Struthio camelus: one gene and its partner. Each later gene encodes a partner of the first gene's protein in a complex. Links are inferred from orthologs where the notes say so. Each region holds a gene or a part of one and is shown in the gene's direction. Other genes may lie near its edges. The genes, in order: INTS2 and INTS12.

Region 1 (10,203 bases):
GTTGGGTTTTAAATTTTTGAGCCAAAGGCTTTTTATAGTCACTTTTAAAGTGGAGAAACGTTATTAGCTGAAGTAGCAAATGCTCTAATGGGTTCTGCTCCTTCTGATGATTTCTTCGTAGTAGCCTGGTCTCCTTTTTCTTACCGGCTTTATGCTGTGGTATTTCGTAAGGATAGGTGTTCTCTTGCCTTTCTGGCCAGAAACTCACTGGTTAATGTTTGACTCCCTTTGGAACTGATGGTAGAGGAAGTACACAAGTATAATGTAATATCACATTTACACTGGGTAAAAATAATCTCTGTTTATGTATTGCATTAAAGCATAAAAGCTAGATTTTCAATGTTGGTTGTTTCCAAGTGATAGTCATTGCCCCCATCTGTCTGCATATTGTCTGATCTCCTTATCTTTTTATGGTACAATCAAGGCAGAGTTGGCAAACTTAAAGCTGTACATTAGTATACAGAGAAACTTTGCGCATTGGCATTATTAATTCTTGACTTAATGTAACATCTCTAATACTATGTTATCTAACGATACTGATCTACTTTCTTCAGCCTTATTTGTGTCTGGATTAGTGGTGCCTCTTGGCCTAAGCTCAACTGTGTTTTTGGTATAGGACTTTTTTTTCTTTTTTTTTCTTTTTTTTTTTTTTAAGGAAGATTTATTATTTAGCTTAAGTAGCTCTATTTATGGAATGTAAATAGACTGGTCTTATGGAAAGCAACTGAACTTTAAAGTTCATATATTACTAGAAATCTTGGGCCACTTGGGTCACTTTTTAATTTATTTTTAAATAATCACTTAATGTAGGCAAAGGGATTTAAAAATAAATGTTTCCTAAGATATGTTATGCTATTAGCACTCTGCTTTTATGAGTGCATTTCCTCATATTCTGATAATTCCGGTGCTTGTTAACTGTATAAGGTTAAAACATGGTTTGGCTTGCGTGTCACACAATAGAAAGTGGCTGAAAGGTACAGACCAACAATATAGGGGGAAAAGTATGTTGTAGTAGAATCAAGTAGTAACTGCTAGCGTTTCCTCTTCCTTTCTTAGGCCTCTTTGCACCTCCACGTGCCTTCAGTGCAATCAGACGAGCTACTCCACAGTAAACACTCCCATCCACTTGATTCTAATCAAACTTCTGATGTGCTCAGGTATTTATGATTGATCACTTACAAAAATATTCTGCATGTCATTTTTCATACTGCTGTTGTAAAGTTACATATTTATTTATTTTTCTTGCTATTAAGTTTTCTTTTTTGTGCTGCTGATAAATACTTAAGTACTTCACATAGACACATTGTAAATTACTGTGCTTTGAGTGATTAAAAGATGGCTTTATCCCAGTGCAATTAAAAAAAAAAGAAAAAAGAAAAACCCTAAAACATCTCAAAGCCCTTTTTAAACTAATGTTGATTACAACTGAAAATATTTGAAAGACAATGAATTCCTCCAGCTAGAAGGGAGTTTGAGGTGTAACATCGAAGATGGTGCATAAACGAATGGAAGAAGATTATAGATGAAGTTGTTAAGCCAGAATCTTGCATGGGTTGTGGGAACAGTGAAGTGCTGAAGCAGAAAAGAGTAGACCCATGAAAAAATGGGACACGTGTTGATGAGGAAAAAGTCGGACGTCTCTAGATTTTTATTTTCATATGCAAGTCTCCTGATATTAGTTAAGCATCAACAATTAAAATGGCAGTTTTTCACTGAGAATAAAAAAAAGGTTTAGCTTTGACCTGCTGTAATAGTTCTGAGAGCATGTTATTTCAGAATGTTGGCAAAACTATTTTGTGTGTTCAGTACTAAAGAAACTGGATTTTTATTAAATTAGGACTATAAAATGCCTTCTTGAAAACAGTGGTGGGAAAATCTGTTGGCTTGATGGAAGCTTGTTTGCTTTCTAGGTTTGTTCTGGAACAGTACAATGCACTCTCCTGGCTAACCTGTGATCCTGCAACCCAGGACAGACGGTCATGTCTCCCAGTTCATTTTGTGGTGCTGAATCAGTTGTATAACTTTATCATGAATATGCTGTGATCTTCATCTGAATTTTGAAAGACAAGAATGAGGAAAAGGGATATTTCACTGCAGGACTAAGTTATAAATTCTTCTCAGTGCAAGTTGTTTGTGATGGGGTATGAATCTTGTTACTTCCAGCAAATATTGCTTTGGCTTGTGAGAAGGGCATCTATAACCCTACTGTCTTTGATGCAATGACTCTGGGGGACTCTTTAGAATGATGATCAGAATGTGTATTATAACATTTTTAGTAGCAAAATTAACCATTTTTCCCCAGTCACAGTATTTGTGAAGAGTAATGAGCCATAGTACCCAGTCATGGTTAATGAATTTTAAAGCATGGAGATGAGAAGAAACAGGAGGAACAATAAGTTTCAACCTATGGCTTCAGAACATCAAGATGTTCTTGTATTGGATTATAGTACCTAGTATTCAAAAAATGCCTGCATCTCTTATTTATTGTAAGTTTTTAAATGTATAAATTGTCTTATATTTCTTAACCTCTTTTATAAAAATTTTCCTAGAAGGTTTATACTGCCTTCTTGCTTTAAAGCAATTGGTCTAAAATATATGTAATCGTCTTAATTAAAAGTTGCAGTAGGTTGCTTTTAGAGTATTATTTTTTTGTAAGGGGGTGGGTGGGGACAGTAAATTTGTATTGTCTTGATGTACAGTTTAATGGGGATAGAGGGGTTAATGTCCATACCATTGTGTGTGGGGGATTTACAGCTAAGCTGTAGTTGCAGAGTACATGTACAGTAATGAAGTTCACTGTGTTTATATAAAATTGAAAAGGTACCGGGTCTTACAGCATTTTATATCACACCTTTACAGAGTAACAATGGCAATATATAAGTGATATTGTAGGTGGTTTAACTTGTAGTGAGAATAAAATGAATAAACTCTTCAACTGAAGTTTGTGTTATGGTTCAGGGCTGTGGCTAGATTCTCAGATCTGTTTCCAGTAGACAAGTTTTACTATTGCAAGGATATCTATTGTGCATTGTTGTTACCTGGATATTCTTGGCACCGTGGTGACTGCACTATTTTCTTTCACGTTTGTGGCAAAACACAAATCTGAGTCGGAACACACAGACACAGAAAACTCTGACCTTATCCAAAGTCTCCTGCAAGGCTGAAATTTAGCCCAGCTCTAGCCATTTTACAAATGAAAAAAATAGTCAATCTTGACTTTAAGATTGGTGTGTGTTTAACTAAAATGTGGTGTATATAGATTCTCAGTGAATTCTGGTATTCAGACTTTATTCCACTAGTAAAAAGCAAAACACAACCCTGAATGTTTTCCTTTTTCATGTATTTTGGCACGGAGGTGAAGGTCTCGAGTATCAGTGCATGGCCTTCCCCTTATCCCCTTTTCAGACTCCGGCTGGGGCATGTGCCAAGGAGGCTTAGCCCTCCCTAAGGAAGGGTCTCGTGAGTTATAAGGCTTTTGTAAACCTCTCCCTCTATCTACAGTCGCCCTTTTTCCTCAGTAGTTTCCTTCCATTCTCTCAGCACATGCCAAATGTCTGATGCTGCTCTAAAATGGCCCCTACGGGTGCTGAGGAGCAACAGCATTTTTTTTTTTTTTCCTTTGGTTCCTCATCTTCTGACTGCCAGGGTAAAGACTTACTCCTGCAGTGCCCACGTGAGCCTGTTGAGAGAACCCATGCTAGTTTATCACCTGGGTCTCAGTACTGTTCATCTTGCCTGCTTAAATCTTGAAAGGAGCAAGTTTTAAGATACATTGGGGCACCCACTGTTAATCCTCTACAACGAAGAAATCACTTGTATTTACAAAACTTATTATGTTGGTGAAAATTATGTTTTGTAAATGCAAAATATTTGCCTGAGATCATTTTTCCTTGAATTGTGTATATGCAAAATTAGCGACTTTTTTTGTTTTTGTATAAAGAAGTTGTACAATTGGTGACAAAAATTTTCAGTAGTTTCTTCAGAAAAAACATGAGTGCAATCAGAAGTCAGCATATTTTGATATTAAAGGTAAAAACCTGGGTCTGTCCATTACTTTTTCTTGATATAATGATAATGTACTGCAGATTAAACAGCACACTTCTGTTTTAGAGCAGGTGTTTTCTTTCTCATTTGGCTGAGATTAAGGGGAAAAGTGCATCTAAAACTGGAGTTTTCAGAGCACGTGTCTTTTTTGTTTCGTTTTGTTAAATCTGACTTGTATCCATAAAGGTAAGTGAATCGGCTGCCTGAGCATTGGTATAACTGTACTCTGTTATCTGGACCACAACCTTCCCTGTGAAACTCCAACTGTGAAGTCTGCCTCTCCCCTCCCCCCTCCCCATGTCCCCAAATGCAGTTTAAGTAAACTGTCATATTGTAACCACTAGAAAAGATCAGGAGGGCCATTTTTGGAAGTGATGGTCACAGCCAGCAATGTGCATATCAAAACTGCCATCCCCATGGAGCCAGCTACTACATTGGGCGTGCTTTTTTGTTGGTTTCATTCACTTAGCCATTTTCCTCTTTTAAGGGCACATAATTAGTGATTTATGAATAAAATTGTCACAATCCAATAATTAGGGTTGTTTAGCAAGTACAAGCTTAATGTATTTGAACATTTCAGCCCTAGCTTCTCAAAATGGTTTTGCAAGAAAACATTGTTCCTGGCAGTGCTCTATTAAGAGGAAATAAACTTATACAGCTACTTACGTATGTTAGATAGCCAGTGAAAGATGCATCTGAGATCCTTCAGTTCAGATTTAAAAAAAAAAAAAAAAAAGTATTTTAATTTAGTTATACTGTGCTTAAGCCATGCAGTCATCTGGACTGTGACTTATACTGTTATTTGAATTAGGTTTCTGTAAGCATTGTTGCTAGACTGGCAGGCCACCAACTGTACTTGCAAACAACCCTCAAATTTTAAAGTAGCTGTAACATGTTAATCTTCCTAACGTTTCCGGAAATAAGTAAAAATAAATGAATTTATATTTAAATCCTCAGCTATGTTCTTACTTAGCTGTCAGTATGGCGCAGGTTACTGTATTTCTGTATTTACCTCCTATGGTAATTTTTAACTTCATGTGTTGCTATGAAGACTTGCAGATGTCTTTATTCAAGCACTATTTGTTAATACTGTAATATCAAAATATGTTACACTATTTTAAAGCTTTCAAAAATAAGAGTAAAATGTTTTTAAAATGCTATTGCATCATATAATTTGCTGCGTAACGGTATGGCACAGCATATCAGTCTGTTTTAATAGTAATGCTGCATAAACAATGTTTGGACTGGGTTTCTTTTGAGAATTTGTTTTCTGAATTAGGTGATAGCGTATGACACTACTGTCTTGACAACCTGCACTGGGGAAGGTTTTTTTTGTCCTTAATTAAAAGGATCCAGGACTATTCCGGGGTGGTGGTGTGGGGGGAGGAAGAGTGGTGGGGGCGCTGTGGGCGCTGTACATCCTGTTTTTTTAGCGGAGTAAAACTTAAATTTACAGCAAAACTGGATTTGGGACCTACCATAATCCTCAGGGTCACTTTTCAGGAAGTTACTCGTCTAGCTCTCGCTGTTCCCGAGTAAACTGGATGTCAGGAGCTGGCGGAGCCGGCTGCAGCCTGTCGCCTCGGTCCTGGACGCGCCCCCCCGCAGCCGGGTCGCGTTACCGGGGCCCTTCTTAAGTTCGCACACGGCGCTGACGGTTACTGGTCCGAGCCGTCGCCTTTATCGTGACAAAACGTGACTGAGGAACAAACGCTATTGCTGCCGAATGCCATAAACGCTGAGTTGTACAAATTGTGATTGAGGAAATGGAGAGAGAGAGAGAGAGAGAGAAAAGGTTTATACTTTTTAAAAAAAAATTTCAAATGGAATAAATTATTCATGAAGCCTTGCTTGCGCTGTCTCTTTATTTACGGCGGGGGCCGAGCAGACGTCCGGGGGAGGGGGGGGGCGCCGTCCCCTCCCCCCTCCCTTCAGAGCGGCCTTCCCGCCGGCGGCGCGCGCGCGCGCACCCGGCCGCCCAACGGCCGCCCGCCGCGGGGCCGACCTCACTTCCGGCGGTGACGCGGGCGGCGCGCGCCGGAAGGCGGCGGTGGCCGGCGGCCGTGGAGCGTGGCCGGTCGCCGCCGCGGGGCCGGGCGCCGCCATGGCGGAGTGCTCCGGCCTGCAGTTCGTGAGCCCCTACGCCTTCGAGGCCATGCAGAAGGTGGACGTGGTGCGGCTGGCGGCGCTGAGCGACCCCGAGCTGCGGCTGCTGCTGCCCTGCCTGGTGCGCATGGCGCTGTGCGCCCCCGCCGACCAGAGCCAGCGCTGGGCGCAGGACAAGAAGCTCATCCTGCGGCTCCTCTCGGGCGTGGAGGCCGTCAACTCCATCGTGGCCTTGCTCTCGGTGGACTTCCACGCCCTGGAGCAGGACGCCAGCAAGGAGCAGCAGCTGCGGTAACGGCGCGGCGGGCGCTGCCCCGGGAATTGCGGTCTGCCTTTAGCTGAGGAGGTGTCTGTGCTCGTCGGGCTCGTTTGTTTGTTCTTTAACGGTTGTCGTTGCGTTTCCGTTGTCTGTTAGACACAAGCTGGGAGGAGGCAGTGGAGAGAGCGTCTTGGTGTCGCAGCTCCAGCACGGTCTGACGCTGGAGTTTGAGCACAGTGATTCGCCTCGTCGGCTTCGTCTTGTGCTTAGTGAATTACTAGCAATTATGAATAAGGTAAAATTTCGCTTCCCCGTCGCTCGGCGTTTGTGAATTTTATATCCCTGAAAGCGAAGAACCAGAAAGCTGCAGGCGGGATGTGCTGAAATAACGCCAGGTTGCGTTGCTGGTGCTGCCGGTGCGTGTCAGGGCCGTTCTCCGGTCCGTAGCTGCTTCGCCGAGACTTAAACTCTGTCACGTAAACTCCTCGTGAACCCAGCTTCCCAGAGAAAGTCTTTCTTCCTCCCGGCAAGGAGGGCAATCTTTTCTTAACAGGCTCTGTACGTTCTATAACATGCTGCACTTAAATACAATGCGATGGCTTATAAGAGCAGAAATCATGTTTCAGGATGATGTTGTAGCTTTTCCTTCTGTCCTTTTTTTTTTTTTTTTTACTGCTATTGCAGTAATATGCACCACCACGTTTCTCACTTTTCTCTGTGTTTTATGTTCTTCTGTTAAACTTACCCTGTTTATAGACTTCTTAGTAAGCTGTTTTTCTGTTTTCCGGAAAGAAGCAACGATACCAGCGGTGTTTAATTATCTTTACTAGTAAATATTGCTTGTTCTAAGCATTTTTGCTTGCCTGTTCTGTTTATAGCTGTACATTTTTGACAGTTTTTAATACGTTCAATCTGTTGAATTCAAAGCTCTGAAAGTCTGACAGGTGCTGATTGAGTTATACAAATCACTTCATGAAACCTGTTCTGTGATGATGAACGTTGTCTTATAGGTGTCAGAATCAAACGGTGAGTTTTTTCTCAAATCGTCCGAGCTCTTCGAGAGTCCTGTCTATCTGGAGGAAGCAGCAGATGTTCTCTGCATTCTGCAAGCAGGTGTAGTGCTCTGTATTTATAGTGCTTTCCTTAATGCTGTTTTGCTTGTGACTTCGCTACTTACAAACGTAAAAAAAAAATTACCCTAACTTTTGGAGCTCTCCTAGCTGAATTAAGATTAATGTTGGATGTCTAGCTCTTTGGAAGAGGAATAGACCAAAGAGTAATCTTTCATTCGTTAACTTGAGCACGTTACATAAATTTATATTAAAAGCTACTGTTTTACAGTGACTTATGAGATCCTCTTTTTATCCAGAGCTGCCATCGCTGTTGCCCATAGTTGATGTAGCTGAAGCTCTGTTGCACGTTAAAAATGGAGCCTGGTTCCTGTGCCTCCTAGTGGCCAATGTTCCCGATAGTTTTAACGAGGGTGAGTTACAGTTTCTTCTTGCCAAGCTTTCTTTTTGTAAAGCTTTGAAATAATTTCCAGCAATCAAATTGATTCTAGGCTAAGCAGCATAAATATTTGAACTGAGGAGCGCTTGGCTTGTGAAATGCACTTTGGATGCATTTATACTTAGAGATGCTGAAAGGCCTCTCGTTCTCATCGCATTCACTACCTATTTCTGCAGCGTACTTCAGACTCATTGTGTGCCTGTTGCAGTTTTTCATCTGTAGGTCACCTTTATAAAGGCTGATTCAGACAGTGAATGATTGGGTCTAGGAACCTGGTCTGTCCTTGCTAATTGTCCTTGTCTCTCAGAGCGAGGCATGTTATGAGGTGAAAAATTCATACTGCCGTTGCCCATTTATTATCACTTATGTAGCAAGAAGACTTCAGTCTGCAGGGCTGCCAGGTGCACAGGTTGCGTTAGACAGAGTATGAGCAGTAATTGAATGATGCCTAAATCTGTAATGACCCTATAATTTCTCTGAGGAGAAACACCGTTTCCTTATTCTACTGATACAGCGTTGATCAACAGTTCTTCCCTGGCACAAGGTTCGTGTGGCTCAGTTAATAAATCACAGTCCGCTGAATGAAAGGGCTCGTCTTGTGTTTATATGTTTACGTGGCTTTCTGCTGGAAAGGCCAGATTTACTTAGACCTCCTCTCGAATGTTTAGTCTGTAGAGGTTTGATTAAGAACGGCGAGCGGCAGGATGAGGAAAGTGTTGGAGGCCGTCGTAGAACAGAAGCACTTCGTCACCTGTGTAAAATGAACCCTTCCCAAGCTTTAAGGGTCAGAGGCATGGTGGTAAGTCTGTAATTGTTCTATCACGAGACAACACGCAAATCATAATTGTGATCCTTATTGGAGCATTAAAAAACAAAAAAAAAAGATTGAGCTCGGCTATTTTGTCTAGGTGGAAGAGTGTCATCTACCAGGTCTTGGTGTTGCTTTGACCCTGGATCACACCAAAAATGAATCTTCAGATGATGGAGTGAGCGATCTGGTGTGTTTTGTGAGTGGTTTGCTACTTGGAACAAATGCTAAGGTTCGGACTTGGTTTGGAACTTTTATCCGAAATGGCCAACAGGTAGGTACGCTTTTGAATATTCGCTTTCAAAAACTATTTTTGTAAGCTGCTGTAACTTGTCTGGATGTGGGCGTGCACATTTGTCTGAAAGTGCATAGCTCCTATGTTGCTTCTTGCCACAGCCTTTACAAGGCAAATGGGACCATCAGATCTCTACATAGTATTACTGAAGACAGCTATGTCATTGTTCCTCTGAGAGATTTTTAGGTACGTGATCCAATAGCCATGGAAACGAGGGAATCATAAATCAGTAATGTTTAGCTGGTATATGTGTTTGTGCTCAGTATTTGCAAGGGAAAATTGTGTCTTGACTTGCTTAAAGCTTGTGTTTCATTGAAATAAACCATTGTAACATGATCGTGTGTTACCTGTTACCCTGGTACTGAAAATTTTATTAAAAAATGCCCCCCCTCCCCATTCTTTTTTTCTTGTCTTTGTCATTATGGAAGCTTTTATGTAATAAAACGTCTGATGACATGAGGTTTATATTGTTGTTTTCATCTTTTAACCTCTCAGAGAAAAAGAGATAATATCAGTTCTGTGCTTTGGCAAATGAGAAGGCAGCTGCTCCTGGAGCTCATGGGAATCCTTCCCACGGTTCGCAGCACACACATTGTTGAAGAAGCAGATGTTGATATGGAGCCAAATGTGTCTGTGTACTCGGGACTGAAGGAAGAACATGTTGTGAAAGCCAGCGCATTGTTACGTCTCTATTGCGCTTTGATGGGAATTGCTGGGCTGAAGTAATGAATGTTTTAATGCTCTATGTTTTTTTTCGCTGTCTGTCCAATTTAAACAGAGGTTGGGATCTTTGGGCAATTTTAACGTAAGCTCTCTCCTAATGTCATTGTGTCCTTGAGCCGTTATTGGCAGGATGTGCCATTTTTAGTGCTGAGGGAGACACTTCTCGTGTGCCCAGGGCTGGAATTGCCAGCTGATTAAAGTTTCTTTATCGCTGTAGTGTAGAGAGAGCAAATACTATGTAACTATGCAGAGAGAGGTATGTTTTTTTGCTTTCCAGTACTACTCTTATCAGAAAAGCTTTTTATTTTTCTATTGGTGAAGATCCATGTGTAAACTACACTGGAAATGTTTACCTAAAATAATCATAATAGGAGAAATGCGCTCTCTTTAATGTTCCAAAATTCAATCCTATAGAAGCACTAAAAAAAAAAAAATCTAGGCCTCAGCCTTTGGAGCAGT
Region 2 (10,076 bases), on another chromosome or scaffold:
TCATTGCTGACTGAAAAGAATCTAAGGGCTCTTACTCAGCAAAGCTGTAATACCTGCTCTGGCTGTTGATTTTCTGATAAACAAAAATGTCCTATCTACAGTTTCTTCTAGTTGGAGATAACGGTATTTTTTCCAAAAGCTAGATTCTCCTTTAGCTAGGCTTTGTGCATCTGTTAAAGCTGTATTTATCCAGGGAAACAGAGAGCTTTACATACCACTCATTTATAAAACTTTCATTAGTTATACCATTTTTTTTAAAAGCATTCAAAACTTTTTAGATCATGTTTTCATATGTAGTATTTTTAAGCCAAGATAGCTGTTTCAGTTAGCTAGACTCTCCACACATGGGAGGAGGAAGAAGAAAGTCAAAGATTAAGATGGTCAATATTATGACAACTTCCTTTTAAGGAATCACATAAATAAAATGCAACAGTAACAATACAGCAATAATTAATCATTCCAGTCATTTATTCTGAACTAATTACAAACCAAGAGTAAACTGGTAATTTATGAAAAAATGCAAACAAATGTAATATGTTATACCTGAAGCACAGTAAGCTCCAGAGCAGGAAGTAAACTCTAGCTCTCTTCATGATAGATACAAATGTCTCATTTCTTTTGTTTTCAAAAGGAGTTAAGAACATTAATCATTTCACAAGACCAGGCCCTAAATTTGAGAATAAGGACTTACACACTCAAATGATTTCCAGACCCTCACAAACCAACTTGTCATTTCATCATTTATATGATACAGAATCACAGAATGGTTTAGGTTGGAAGGGACCTCTGGAGATCATCTAGTCCAACCTCCCTGCTCAAGCAGGGTCACCTAGAGCATATTGCCCAGGATCACATCCAGACGGGTTTTGAATCTCTCCAGCGAAGGAGACTCCACTACCTCTCTGGGCAACCTGTTCCAGTGCTCTGTCACCCTCACAGTGAAGAAGTTTTTTCTCATGCTCAGATGGAACTGCCTGTGGTTCAGTTTCTGCCCATTGCCTCTTGTCCTGTCGCTGGGCACCACGGAGAAGAGGCTGGCCTCATCCTCTTGACACTCCCCCTTCAGATACTTGTACACGTTTATGAGATCGCCTCAATCTTCTCTTCTCCAGGCTGAACAGGCCCAGCTCTTGCAGTCTTTCTTCATAGGAGAGATGCTCCAGTCCCCTGATCATCTTTGCAGCCGTCCGCTGGACTCTCTCCAGTAGTGCCATGATACCTTTTCATTTTGATTCCTATAGGCAATCAGATGTCTCTCAACTAAAAGGCCCTGATCCTGCAAGTACTTGAGAAGTCTGACTTGGAGACATAATTGCAATATAAAGTTCCATTATTTTCAGCTATAGTCCCAGTCTCTCTTTTTTTTTTTTTTAAACCAACGTCCCTTTCTCTTCTCAGATTAGCAGTACTACAATGAAGGTCGTTTCTCAGAACTGCACTCCCTGTTCTGCTGCTGAGAAAGTTAATTTAGATCTGAATTATTAAACCTATTCTGTGGAGTGGAACAAATTATGTTCTTAATTAGGGTCCATTTAGGACAATAACACTTTTCTGTTTCTGCAGCTACCCTCCCAGGGATGAAGTGATGAGCTTCACTCAGCAGGGACACAGAGAAAACGTTGGGCTCGAAGCTTCGGTTTGCACCCTCCAGCTGTTTCCCTCCTCCTTTGCTCTTCCCAGCATAGTGGTCTAGGAACACTTCTCTTTCACAGCTGTCAAACAATTTGCATGTAAATTCCAAGGAAGCCTGAACAAGCACACCAAATTCATAAGAACTCAGGCTTAAATGTCAAACTAAGTGTTTTTAAAACTCTGAAACTAAGTCTTTTTAAAACTCTGCCTATTGATTTTATGAGGGTTAAGATTCACTTGTCAATTTGTTGAGGCTTGCTTCACTTTTCTCTTCCCAATACTCGCACTTAACTCTTCACTTCTTTGTTTCATCTAACTGAAAATAGCAATTTTTCAACATTTCACTGCTGAAGGTACTTATCTACGTAGCGTACTCCTCCTCAGAACAAGATTAGACTACATAACAATTAAAGTAGCTGTTGATCTGCGACTCAGTCTCCCAAGTCTGCACCTGGAAAGGTCCAAAGAGAGCGACAACCGTAAGAAATAAGGAAGCTGCAACTACAAGCACAACTCGTAGCGACTCTCTCCTTTCTACTCCGTTTCAGGCCCAGAGGTCTCCTGAAATAGTTGAAAGTGGCTTGAGGCTTGAACAGCTAGTCCATGGAATATTATCCTCACTGGCAGAAAGAGTACTTCATTCTTATGCTATTATAATCACAATCAGACCCTGCCTCTTTTACCATTTCAAGCTACACAAAAGCCACATATGCATCATTTCACTCTGAACACATTACACACAGAAAATTATTTATTTCATTCTCGTATTCTACTATTCTGTTTCTATCTTATGAGATCATTCATCTTCACAAAGAAACACTGGGATTTTTTTTCCTATATAGTCCCAAGGATATTGCATGTATTTAACACTTATTCTCCTATCTCTTGAACTCGCAGCTTGTGAACTCACAATCATTTTATCATCTAGATCTTTTTCCTCTCACTTTCCCAGAACTGCATCAAGTATAGCTGATGATTTCCCTCCCTTTTCTTCCACACATCCAGCCCCTTAAAAAGGACCATTTTGCCTCCTGCTCTTTCTCCACCTGCACTGCATCTCATAAATTCTGCAGGTGTTACCCCACAAAGGAAGCAATTAGAAAAACAGCTAGAGCTCAACAGTTGAGGAAACCTTTTGTAAGTCACCTTTTACCTATCTCTGAATTATAAATGCAGGTGTCCCTCTCTAATACACTTTCAACTTCAGAAAGCAGTACTAAAAGTTCTCTTGCCTTTACTTTTCACAAACAGTTACCTCGAGATGGGCAGTGTAATTTCTGACCTCTAAGTTCCATAGTCTGTGCAACTGTCAAATGATAAACCTAGCTTGGTAACTTACGGGTTTTTGTTTGTAATTCATCTTTAAGTTAGGAGATTTAGATTAATCCAGGTTTCTCTTGCTCTTATTTCTCTAGACATCAAAAACCTTTTAGACACAAAAAGTTAGTTCGGTAACATTACCTCAAGCATCTATTTAGGAAATTTTCTTTTCCAGTCTCAGACAGATAGTGACCAATGCAAAGCCACCTGCTATGTTCAAAGGGTCCCTATCCTCTGTTCCTGGTAATGGTTTAAATAAAAGATTTTCCTCTACCCCATTTAATCACTTCATTTTCTAGAATTATCAAGATAAAGGCACTGTTATTTAAATATTACAACAAAGATACTTCAGAGCTCATCAAAGTTTTCATCATCCACATTAGCTAATACCAGAAACGTGGCTTTTGCCCTGGTAACAAGTTTTGCTGTGTACGGTTAAAATAAAAGAACAGCACGCGTCACCATTGTTAGAAAAGCCCAAGTTCTGAAGTTTGTCCTAATCCATACATGCAGTTCAACACTGCATAGACACCACTGATATCTATTGTCTCATTCATGAGTAGATCACAGTAATAACTCTTCACTAGCTCCCACAGGAAGCACTGAATCTTCTCCCCTTATTGCAACCATATACTAAAAATGGTTAATCGAATATGATGCTTACTAGTATTTTTTTCCTTAACTTTTGTGTCAATTTAAATTTTGTTCTTTCACTGCTTTGGAGAAAAGTTTGCAGTTTCTTAGCAAACTGGAAGAGAAGTGGATGTTGTAAGTTATGTACTTTTCAGATCAAGACCAAAAAACAGGCAGGCTTTTTCAGACTAAAAGATAGGGAGGACTAGTGGCAAAAAATGTCACTCTGCTTTCTGCGCTGAGCTTTTCAGCACTGACGCTATTGCTTTTATACTTCTGATAATTTCCAATAACCCTAAAACTTCTAAAAGCATTTTTAAACAAAATGTGCTTCTGTAATGACTGTGAATCGTTATATAAACACACTTATTTCAATAGAGCAGCAGAACATTTGATTTGGATTTATTTATACAGTTAGTTACTGTAAAAATGTTTATGCCTCATCATCATAACATCAGAATTTCAGATAGGTATACCAATAAAGTTAAAAAAAAAATGCTACCTCATCACTGGGACTTGCCTCCCAATAGCCTCGTAAGGACAAAGGTTCCTGAATTTCCGTTATGTAAGAGAAAAGGCTGAAGCACAAGGGGAGTTTTTAACTCAATGTCACACAGGGAACGTGTCCTAGAGCAATTGACATTTTCCTTAAGGGATTCCCTTGTGGATTTTGAAGTTCAGTCTATAAATATAATATAAACTACAACTAGGTTAATTTTGTTCCAAACAAGTCTTTTACAGAAAAGAAAGCAAAATAAATCTCTCTGGGAGTTCTATCTATAAATGACTTACCTGCGTTTCTTTCAATTGTCCCTTGTGCAAATGTACTCAAGCCCTTCTTGCATAATCACTTCAACCAACTGTACACGCTTGCACTACCATATGTCAACCCACTCCCATCTTTTAGTTTAGATACTAACAGCCTATCCCTAAGCACAGATCTTTATAAAGCCTGGGTTTTTACCTTCCCCCTCCTTCTTCAAATTTAGTTGTTTTTCCCCACTATTTTGGCTCTGCAGGGTACATCTTACTTCTGTGTTTAAGCACAGCCTTTCCTTTGAAAGTATGTATATGACTGCCACCCTGCTGTTAAAGGTGGTTAATTTAAGGATCCACTGGCAGCTTACTGAGAGAGAAACACCCAGACATTCACAATAAAACAAAACATAGCACTAACAAAACTTACAGGATATCAGATTGTTCACTGTCTTGATGGTAATGCCTCTTCCCACACGTTTTACAGTTTAATTAGAGAAGGAAGAGTGTGGGAAGAGATGGACTTGTATGCTATATTACTCATATTTACAGTAGCTGCTATTGATATTGTGAAATGAAGAAGTCAGCTGGACAAAAATAACAAACATCACAGTATTTGCAACATACTTTAAAGACAAGAAAAAAGTTTTTTGTCTACATTTAGTGTAACAATCATGTTGAGCTGCTTAATATCTATTAATCATGCTTATTTTTCACTAGTAATATTGTTTGTTACCATTTCTGTTTCTCTCTCTACAGGCACTAAATTCCAGCTAAATTAGTTTTACTGAGCTATCACGCTAGTGATATAGTACAGAAAAGTGTTTAAAAAAAACTGTTTCCAGGAAATATAAATGAAAAACTAAAAAAACCCACACACACAAAACACAAACATTCACTTCCTTTTAGTTCCTGAAAAGGACCTTGTTTATTTGTTGATTATTCTATAGGAAAACAAAAGGTTTTTTTAAAATAGAGACAGTAATGTTTGTGAAGTGTTTGATGTTGCAAGTCATTTAAAGACATAGTTTCCTCTAACAAATATTTAGCTTAACAGAAAACAGTATTTGTGCTTTAAGAGAGATAACTTTGCAAATCTGAATTAGATGTCTGTTCACCAGACCAATTTGCTTGTAAACTTTAGGGCTACCGTTATATCCTCAAGTGAATCCAAATAACTGTATGATTTTCAAACCAGAGAGAAATAGAGAGGCATCTGAATTTCAGACTAGTATACCAATAAAAAATATATGTATTTCAGCAAAGTAAAGTATGAAGAATACAAGACAAACCTTAGCAAGGCAGCACACTAAAGTTCAATTATTGCAGAAAATAATGCCACTGAGTAAAAATTCCTTTGCGGAACGATGACATAAAGCCTGCACTGCGACCTTCACTCAGCAGTCTGTCAGTCCAGAAAAAGCAGACCAAGTGTTCAGACACGGAGAATCACTGAAAACCAGACTCCAGCTTTTTTTGGTGGTTTGGGGGGGGGGGGCGGCAGATGGAGAAAAGCTTAAAGAAGAGTCCCCCAACTGCCAGATGAGGAAGACTACAGGTGTCTTTTCCTTCATCAGTTATTAGTGCTCTTCACCAATAAACGCCTCGACCGCCAGTTTCCAGCCAAACCTCGCTCAGGAAACAGAAAGCTAACGGCAACGAGGGCACGGGCAGGCGCCGCGCTTCGCGGTCAGCGAGCCGTGAGGGGAGGAGGCGGCAAACGCCGGGCTGCCGAAGGCGGCGCGCCGATACCCGGCGCCCGTTCTCCCTCCGTCGCCACCACCCCCGGCCTCTTCCCGCCGCCAGTAACGGTCGCGTGGAGACCGCCCCCCCTCAATCCCCAACGGCTCCGGGCCCGGCGCGCGAGGCGGGCGCCAACGGCCGCTTACCCTGTCCCGCACGTCGCCCAGCCGCTTCCGCCCTGGCCCCGCCCCTTCCTGCGCGAGCGCCCGCTCCGGTTGTCTTCCTCCCTCCCTCCCTCCCTCCTCCACGCGGGCACGACCGGAACCCGCCGCCTCGGGGCTCTCGTTGCGCGGGGGGACGCGAAAGGCGACGGACGCGGCTTGGAGGCTGAGCCGGGGGGGCGGGCGGGAGGTAGTGGTGGTGGTGGTCTCGGTGGACGCCCTCAGTCACCCGTTCGCTCGTGCCCGGCCGTGCCGTGCCGGCCCGCAGGTAAGGGAGAGGGCACCTGGTGAGGGGGCTGGGAGAGCACGAGACCCCTCTGACCGTTACTCTGCGGCTCGAGGGGCGGCTGGTGCCGGCGTGGGGGGAGGGGTGGCCCTGTCGGCGATGGCGGTTGGAAAAGAGTTTGAAGCGGTTGCGGGCAGTTGCACCCCCCCCCCTCCTCCGCAGCGGCGCGCTCGTTGCCGGGGCTCCAGGACCGGTTCAATCCTGGTGGTAGCGGGTGTGGCAGGGTGCCCCCAGCCCCGGAGCTGCCTTTCGGGCCGCTCTTCTCAGGGCAGTGAGTTTAGCAGACGCTTTCCACCTCTAGTCGTAGCACTCTGAGCTGTGTTTCTCTCTCTCTTTAGTCTCTCTTAGCTGGGTGTTCAAGTCAAGGCACTAGAGTTTAGTGTCAGCTGATTGCGTTGTTAGCGCTGTAATTAGGCAGAGGGGTTCATCTCTTTCTTTGTGGTGGGGACTTGCCCTGGGCTCAGCTCAATAGCACAGAGCACACGGAGCCACCGCTGGGGACGGGAAGGAACAGACCAAGCAAATAGAGCTCATGTATGCCCTATTTTACAAGACGTATGCATTTCAGCCGAAATTGTAAGTTATTTTTTTGGACTGCAGCATATGGAGGCATAGAGAGCTTTTATTTTCTTTAAAAAAGAGTTTTTAAATAAGAAGCCTTTATTCATTCTTAAAGGAAATAAGAAGGGAAACTTGCAGCAAATATGCTGCAGAGTGTGGGGTTGTGGCTTTGGTGTAACTGACCCAAAAATTCAGTTTTGACTAAAATTTGCAGCTTCCACCTGGAAATCACCAGGAAAATGATATCTAGGGCATTTGCACACCTAATGAGTTTCAGTAAGCAAATCATTTGAACTAGGAAGGGGTGAAAAAGATAATGAAGAGAGGTAATAATTTGCTAGTGATTTAAACTAATAAGCAGTGGCACCTATTTAAACAGTGTTTTTAGGTCCATTTTTGCAGAGCTCTGAAGCTTTGTGGTAGTAGGGGTTAGCAAATCTCGGTTGCATAGGTACGATTATCTCATTTACTTGGTTTTGACAAAACCATTTGTGTGGCAGCATAGCTTTATCAGAACAAAAACCTTTTTTAGAAGGGTAACTGATGAAACATCATGTGTGGAATTCCAATCTAACATAGAACCTGTACTTGGAACCAAAGACGTGTTAACTTGCTTTTGAACAATAAATGGGCTTAGGATAACACCACTCGAAAGGGCTGTGAGAAACTTATGTTTGAATTAATTATATGTATAAGTAGGAGTTGACGCAGGGGATCTTCTCTATCCCAAGTGAATTCTGTACGCTATTGTTCTGTCACCTCTTTTATATTTGTTTTTTAAATTAATTGTTTTGATTTTTTTAATCAAATAGAATATTTCTTTTAAGTTTCCACTGTTTTGCAGATAGCTCTGGTGGATAATCTCTCTCTGTGAACTTTAGGCTCAAAGAGTCTTACTAGACTGGGATATGCACAGGATTAAGTCTGTATCCTCTTTTATCTGTGCACTTTATTTCAGGTGGCTATCTGAAAAAAAATAGTGGATCATAAGAAAAGAATGTGAATAAAAATCAAATCTGATATTAAAGATGGCTGGAATTATACTTGAACAGCAATTAGCTGGATAAAAAAACAAATATGGTATTGTATCAGGGTTGGGAAGGTGGCAAGAGAGATGTTGACTTGCTAGACCAGTAAGCTGTGCAGAATCCAGCTCAAGAGGCTGAGGGTAGTGCAGGAAAAAATGGGATTATTTTCCTCTTAATCAATTTTTTTTTTTTTTTTACAAAAAATAAATTATCTAAAGGTAGGAAGATACATGCTTTAGATTTACTTATTAAAGGCTGAGGAACTGTCTAGATTCTCAGATTAGAAAAGAAAAACGTGAAGTCAATTACATTCAGTCTATCCAAATTCTGAAGTAACTTAAATGACTAAACCACTAACAAAATTATAATGTTACCAAAATGCCCTCTTCCACCCTGGATCTTCATTTACAGAATAGATACAGTGCTCTGGTAGCTGAGGGGGAGGAAGTGGCTCAGTCAAAGGCAGCTTCAGAGACTGCAAAGCCTGAATTGAGTATAGGCAGCTGAGGAAACAGGCTATGTGCGGTCACAGACCTATGAAACGATTCAGTTACTGACATGTGATGGGATGGCTTGCGCGACTGGAGTTCTGTGATACACGGAGACAGGCTGCCTGGGAAAGATGCGCAGGAAGAATAGTGTGTGTAGGGTTGCCTGTTGGGGGAAGGAGCAGCATGGATGCATGGAACTCTTTGGTGGAATATGGGGGACAGTCACCACGAGAACTTGTGGGTCAGGAGCAGAGGAGGAGCCAGTAAGGGTGACAACATCGTGGGAGTCTGTTATAGACCACTTGATCCAGAGAAAATGATGCATGATTTCTTCTTTAAGTAAGTTGAGGAAGTGTCCACATCACAGACCCTCCCCACTATTTGCTCGGAGGGCAGTGCAGTGGGATGCAAGCACTCCAGGAGATTTTTAGGGTGAGCTGAGAGTAACATCTTAACACCAGTATGGACCAACGGATTGGCCAGCCTGGGGATGTGGTCTCCTGAATCTGCAGTTCATGAGCAAGGAAGAACTGACTGGAAACATGATAATCAATGGCAACCTTGGCTGTAGTAACTATGAAATAGTGGAGTTCAGGCTCCTGAGGGGAGTGAGGAGGGTGAGTAGCAGAATAAAGCTGTGCTTCAAGAGAGCAGACTTTGACTTCTTCAGGGAACAGCAGGTGAGATGCCATGGGAGACAACTCTGAAGGGCAAAGGAGCTCAGGGAGATAACTGGTATTTAAGGACAGTCCTCTTCCAAGCACAGGAACAGTCCATCCCAATACTTAGGAAAACATGCAGGCAAAGCAGAGGATTGGATTGACTAATTGGGGAGCTCGGGACAGAACTCTGAAGCAAAACAGGCGTATCCAGGAGGCAGAAGCAGAAACAAGCTACGAAGGAGGACTACAGGAATATTGTCTGGGCACGTGGGTATGGCATTAGGAAGCCAAAGGGAAACTTGAGCTGAACCTGGCAAAAGATGTGAATGGTGACAAGCTGCTGCTGCTGCTGCATTATCAGGAAAAGGATACACTGGGAAAATGTGGTGCTCTTGCTGAATGGGACAGGTCATTTAGCGACAGCAGACGCAGATAAGGTTGAGGTAGTCAGTGTCATCTTTGTCTCAGACTTCACTGACAAGGTCTCCTAGGCCTTTTTGCCACAAGGCAGGCCTCAGGGTGAAGAGGAACTACCAGTTGTGGAAGAAGATTGAAGCAAGAATTGCCTGACATGAAAACGTGACCTGTACGAGACCATGGGACCAGATGAGCTGCACTCAAGGGATCCAAGAGAGCTGACAGTATCTTTGCAAAACCCCATTCTGCCCTTCTTGAAGGGTCATGGAGACTGGAGGAGATTCCCGGAGACTGTAGAAAGGCAAATCTTGCATCCGTCTTCATAAAGGGCAAGAAGGACAATCCAAGGAACTACAGGTTGGTCAGCCTCACTGCTTTACGTCCCT

The links.
Region 2: INTS2 (region 1) and INTS12 share a complex: the UniProt entries of both Homo sapiens proteins name them as parts of the integrator complex. The link is inferred for Struthio camelus from reciprocal best matches to the Homo sapiens genes INTS2 and INTS12.

Annotation. Positions count from the first base shown.
Region 1 is NC_090957.1:18,829,636-18,839,838, forward strand, and holds the start of INTS2 (integrator complex subunit 2), read left to right. Parts: upstream 1-6,052; 5' UTR 6,053-6,148; coding exon 6,149-6,441; intron 6,442-6,565; coding exon 6,566-6,704; intron 6,705-7,419; coding exon 7,420-7,522; intron 7,523-7,778; coding exon 7,779-7,892; intron 7,893-8,586; coding exon 8,587-8,717; intron 8,718-8,826; coding exon 8,827-9,000; intron 9,001-9,516; coding exon 9,517-9,743; intron 9,744-10,203. Other genes in the region: MED13 (mediator of RNA polymerase II transcription subunit 13), read left to right, coding at 1,057-1,157, 1,911-2,043. UniProt on the Homo sapiens protein: Component of the integrator complex, a multiprotein complex that terminates RNA polymerase II (Pol II) transcription in the promoter-proximal region of genes.
Region 2 is NC_090945.1:26,090,668-26,100,743, forward strand, and holds the start of INTS12 (integrator complex subunit 12), read left to right. Parts: upstream 1-6,270; 5' UTR 6,271-6,513; intron 6,514-10,076. UniProt on the Homo sapiens protein: Component of the integrator complex, a multiprotein complex that terminates RNA polymerase II (Pol II) transcription in the promoter-proximal region of genes.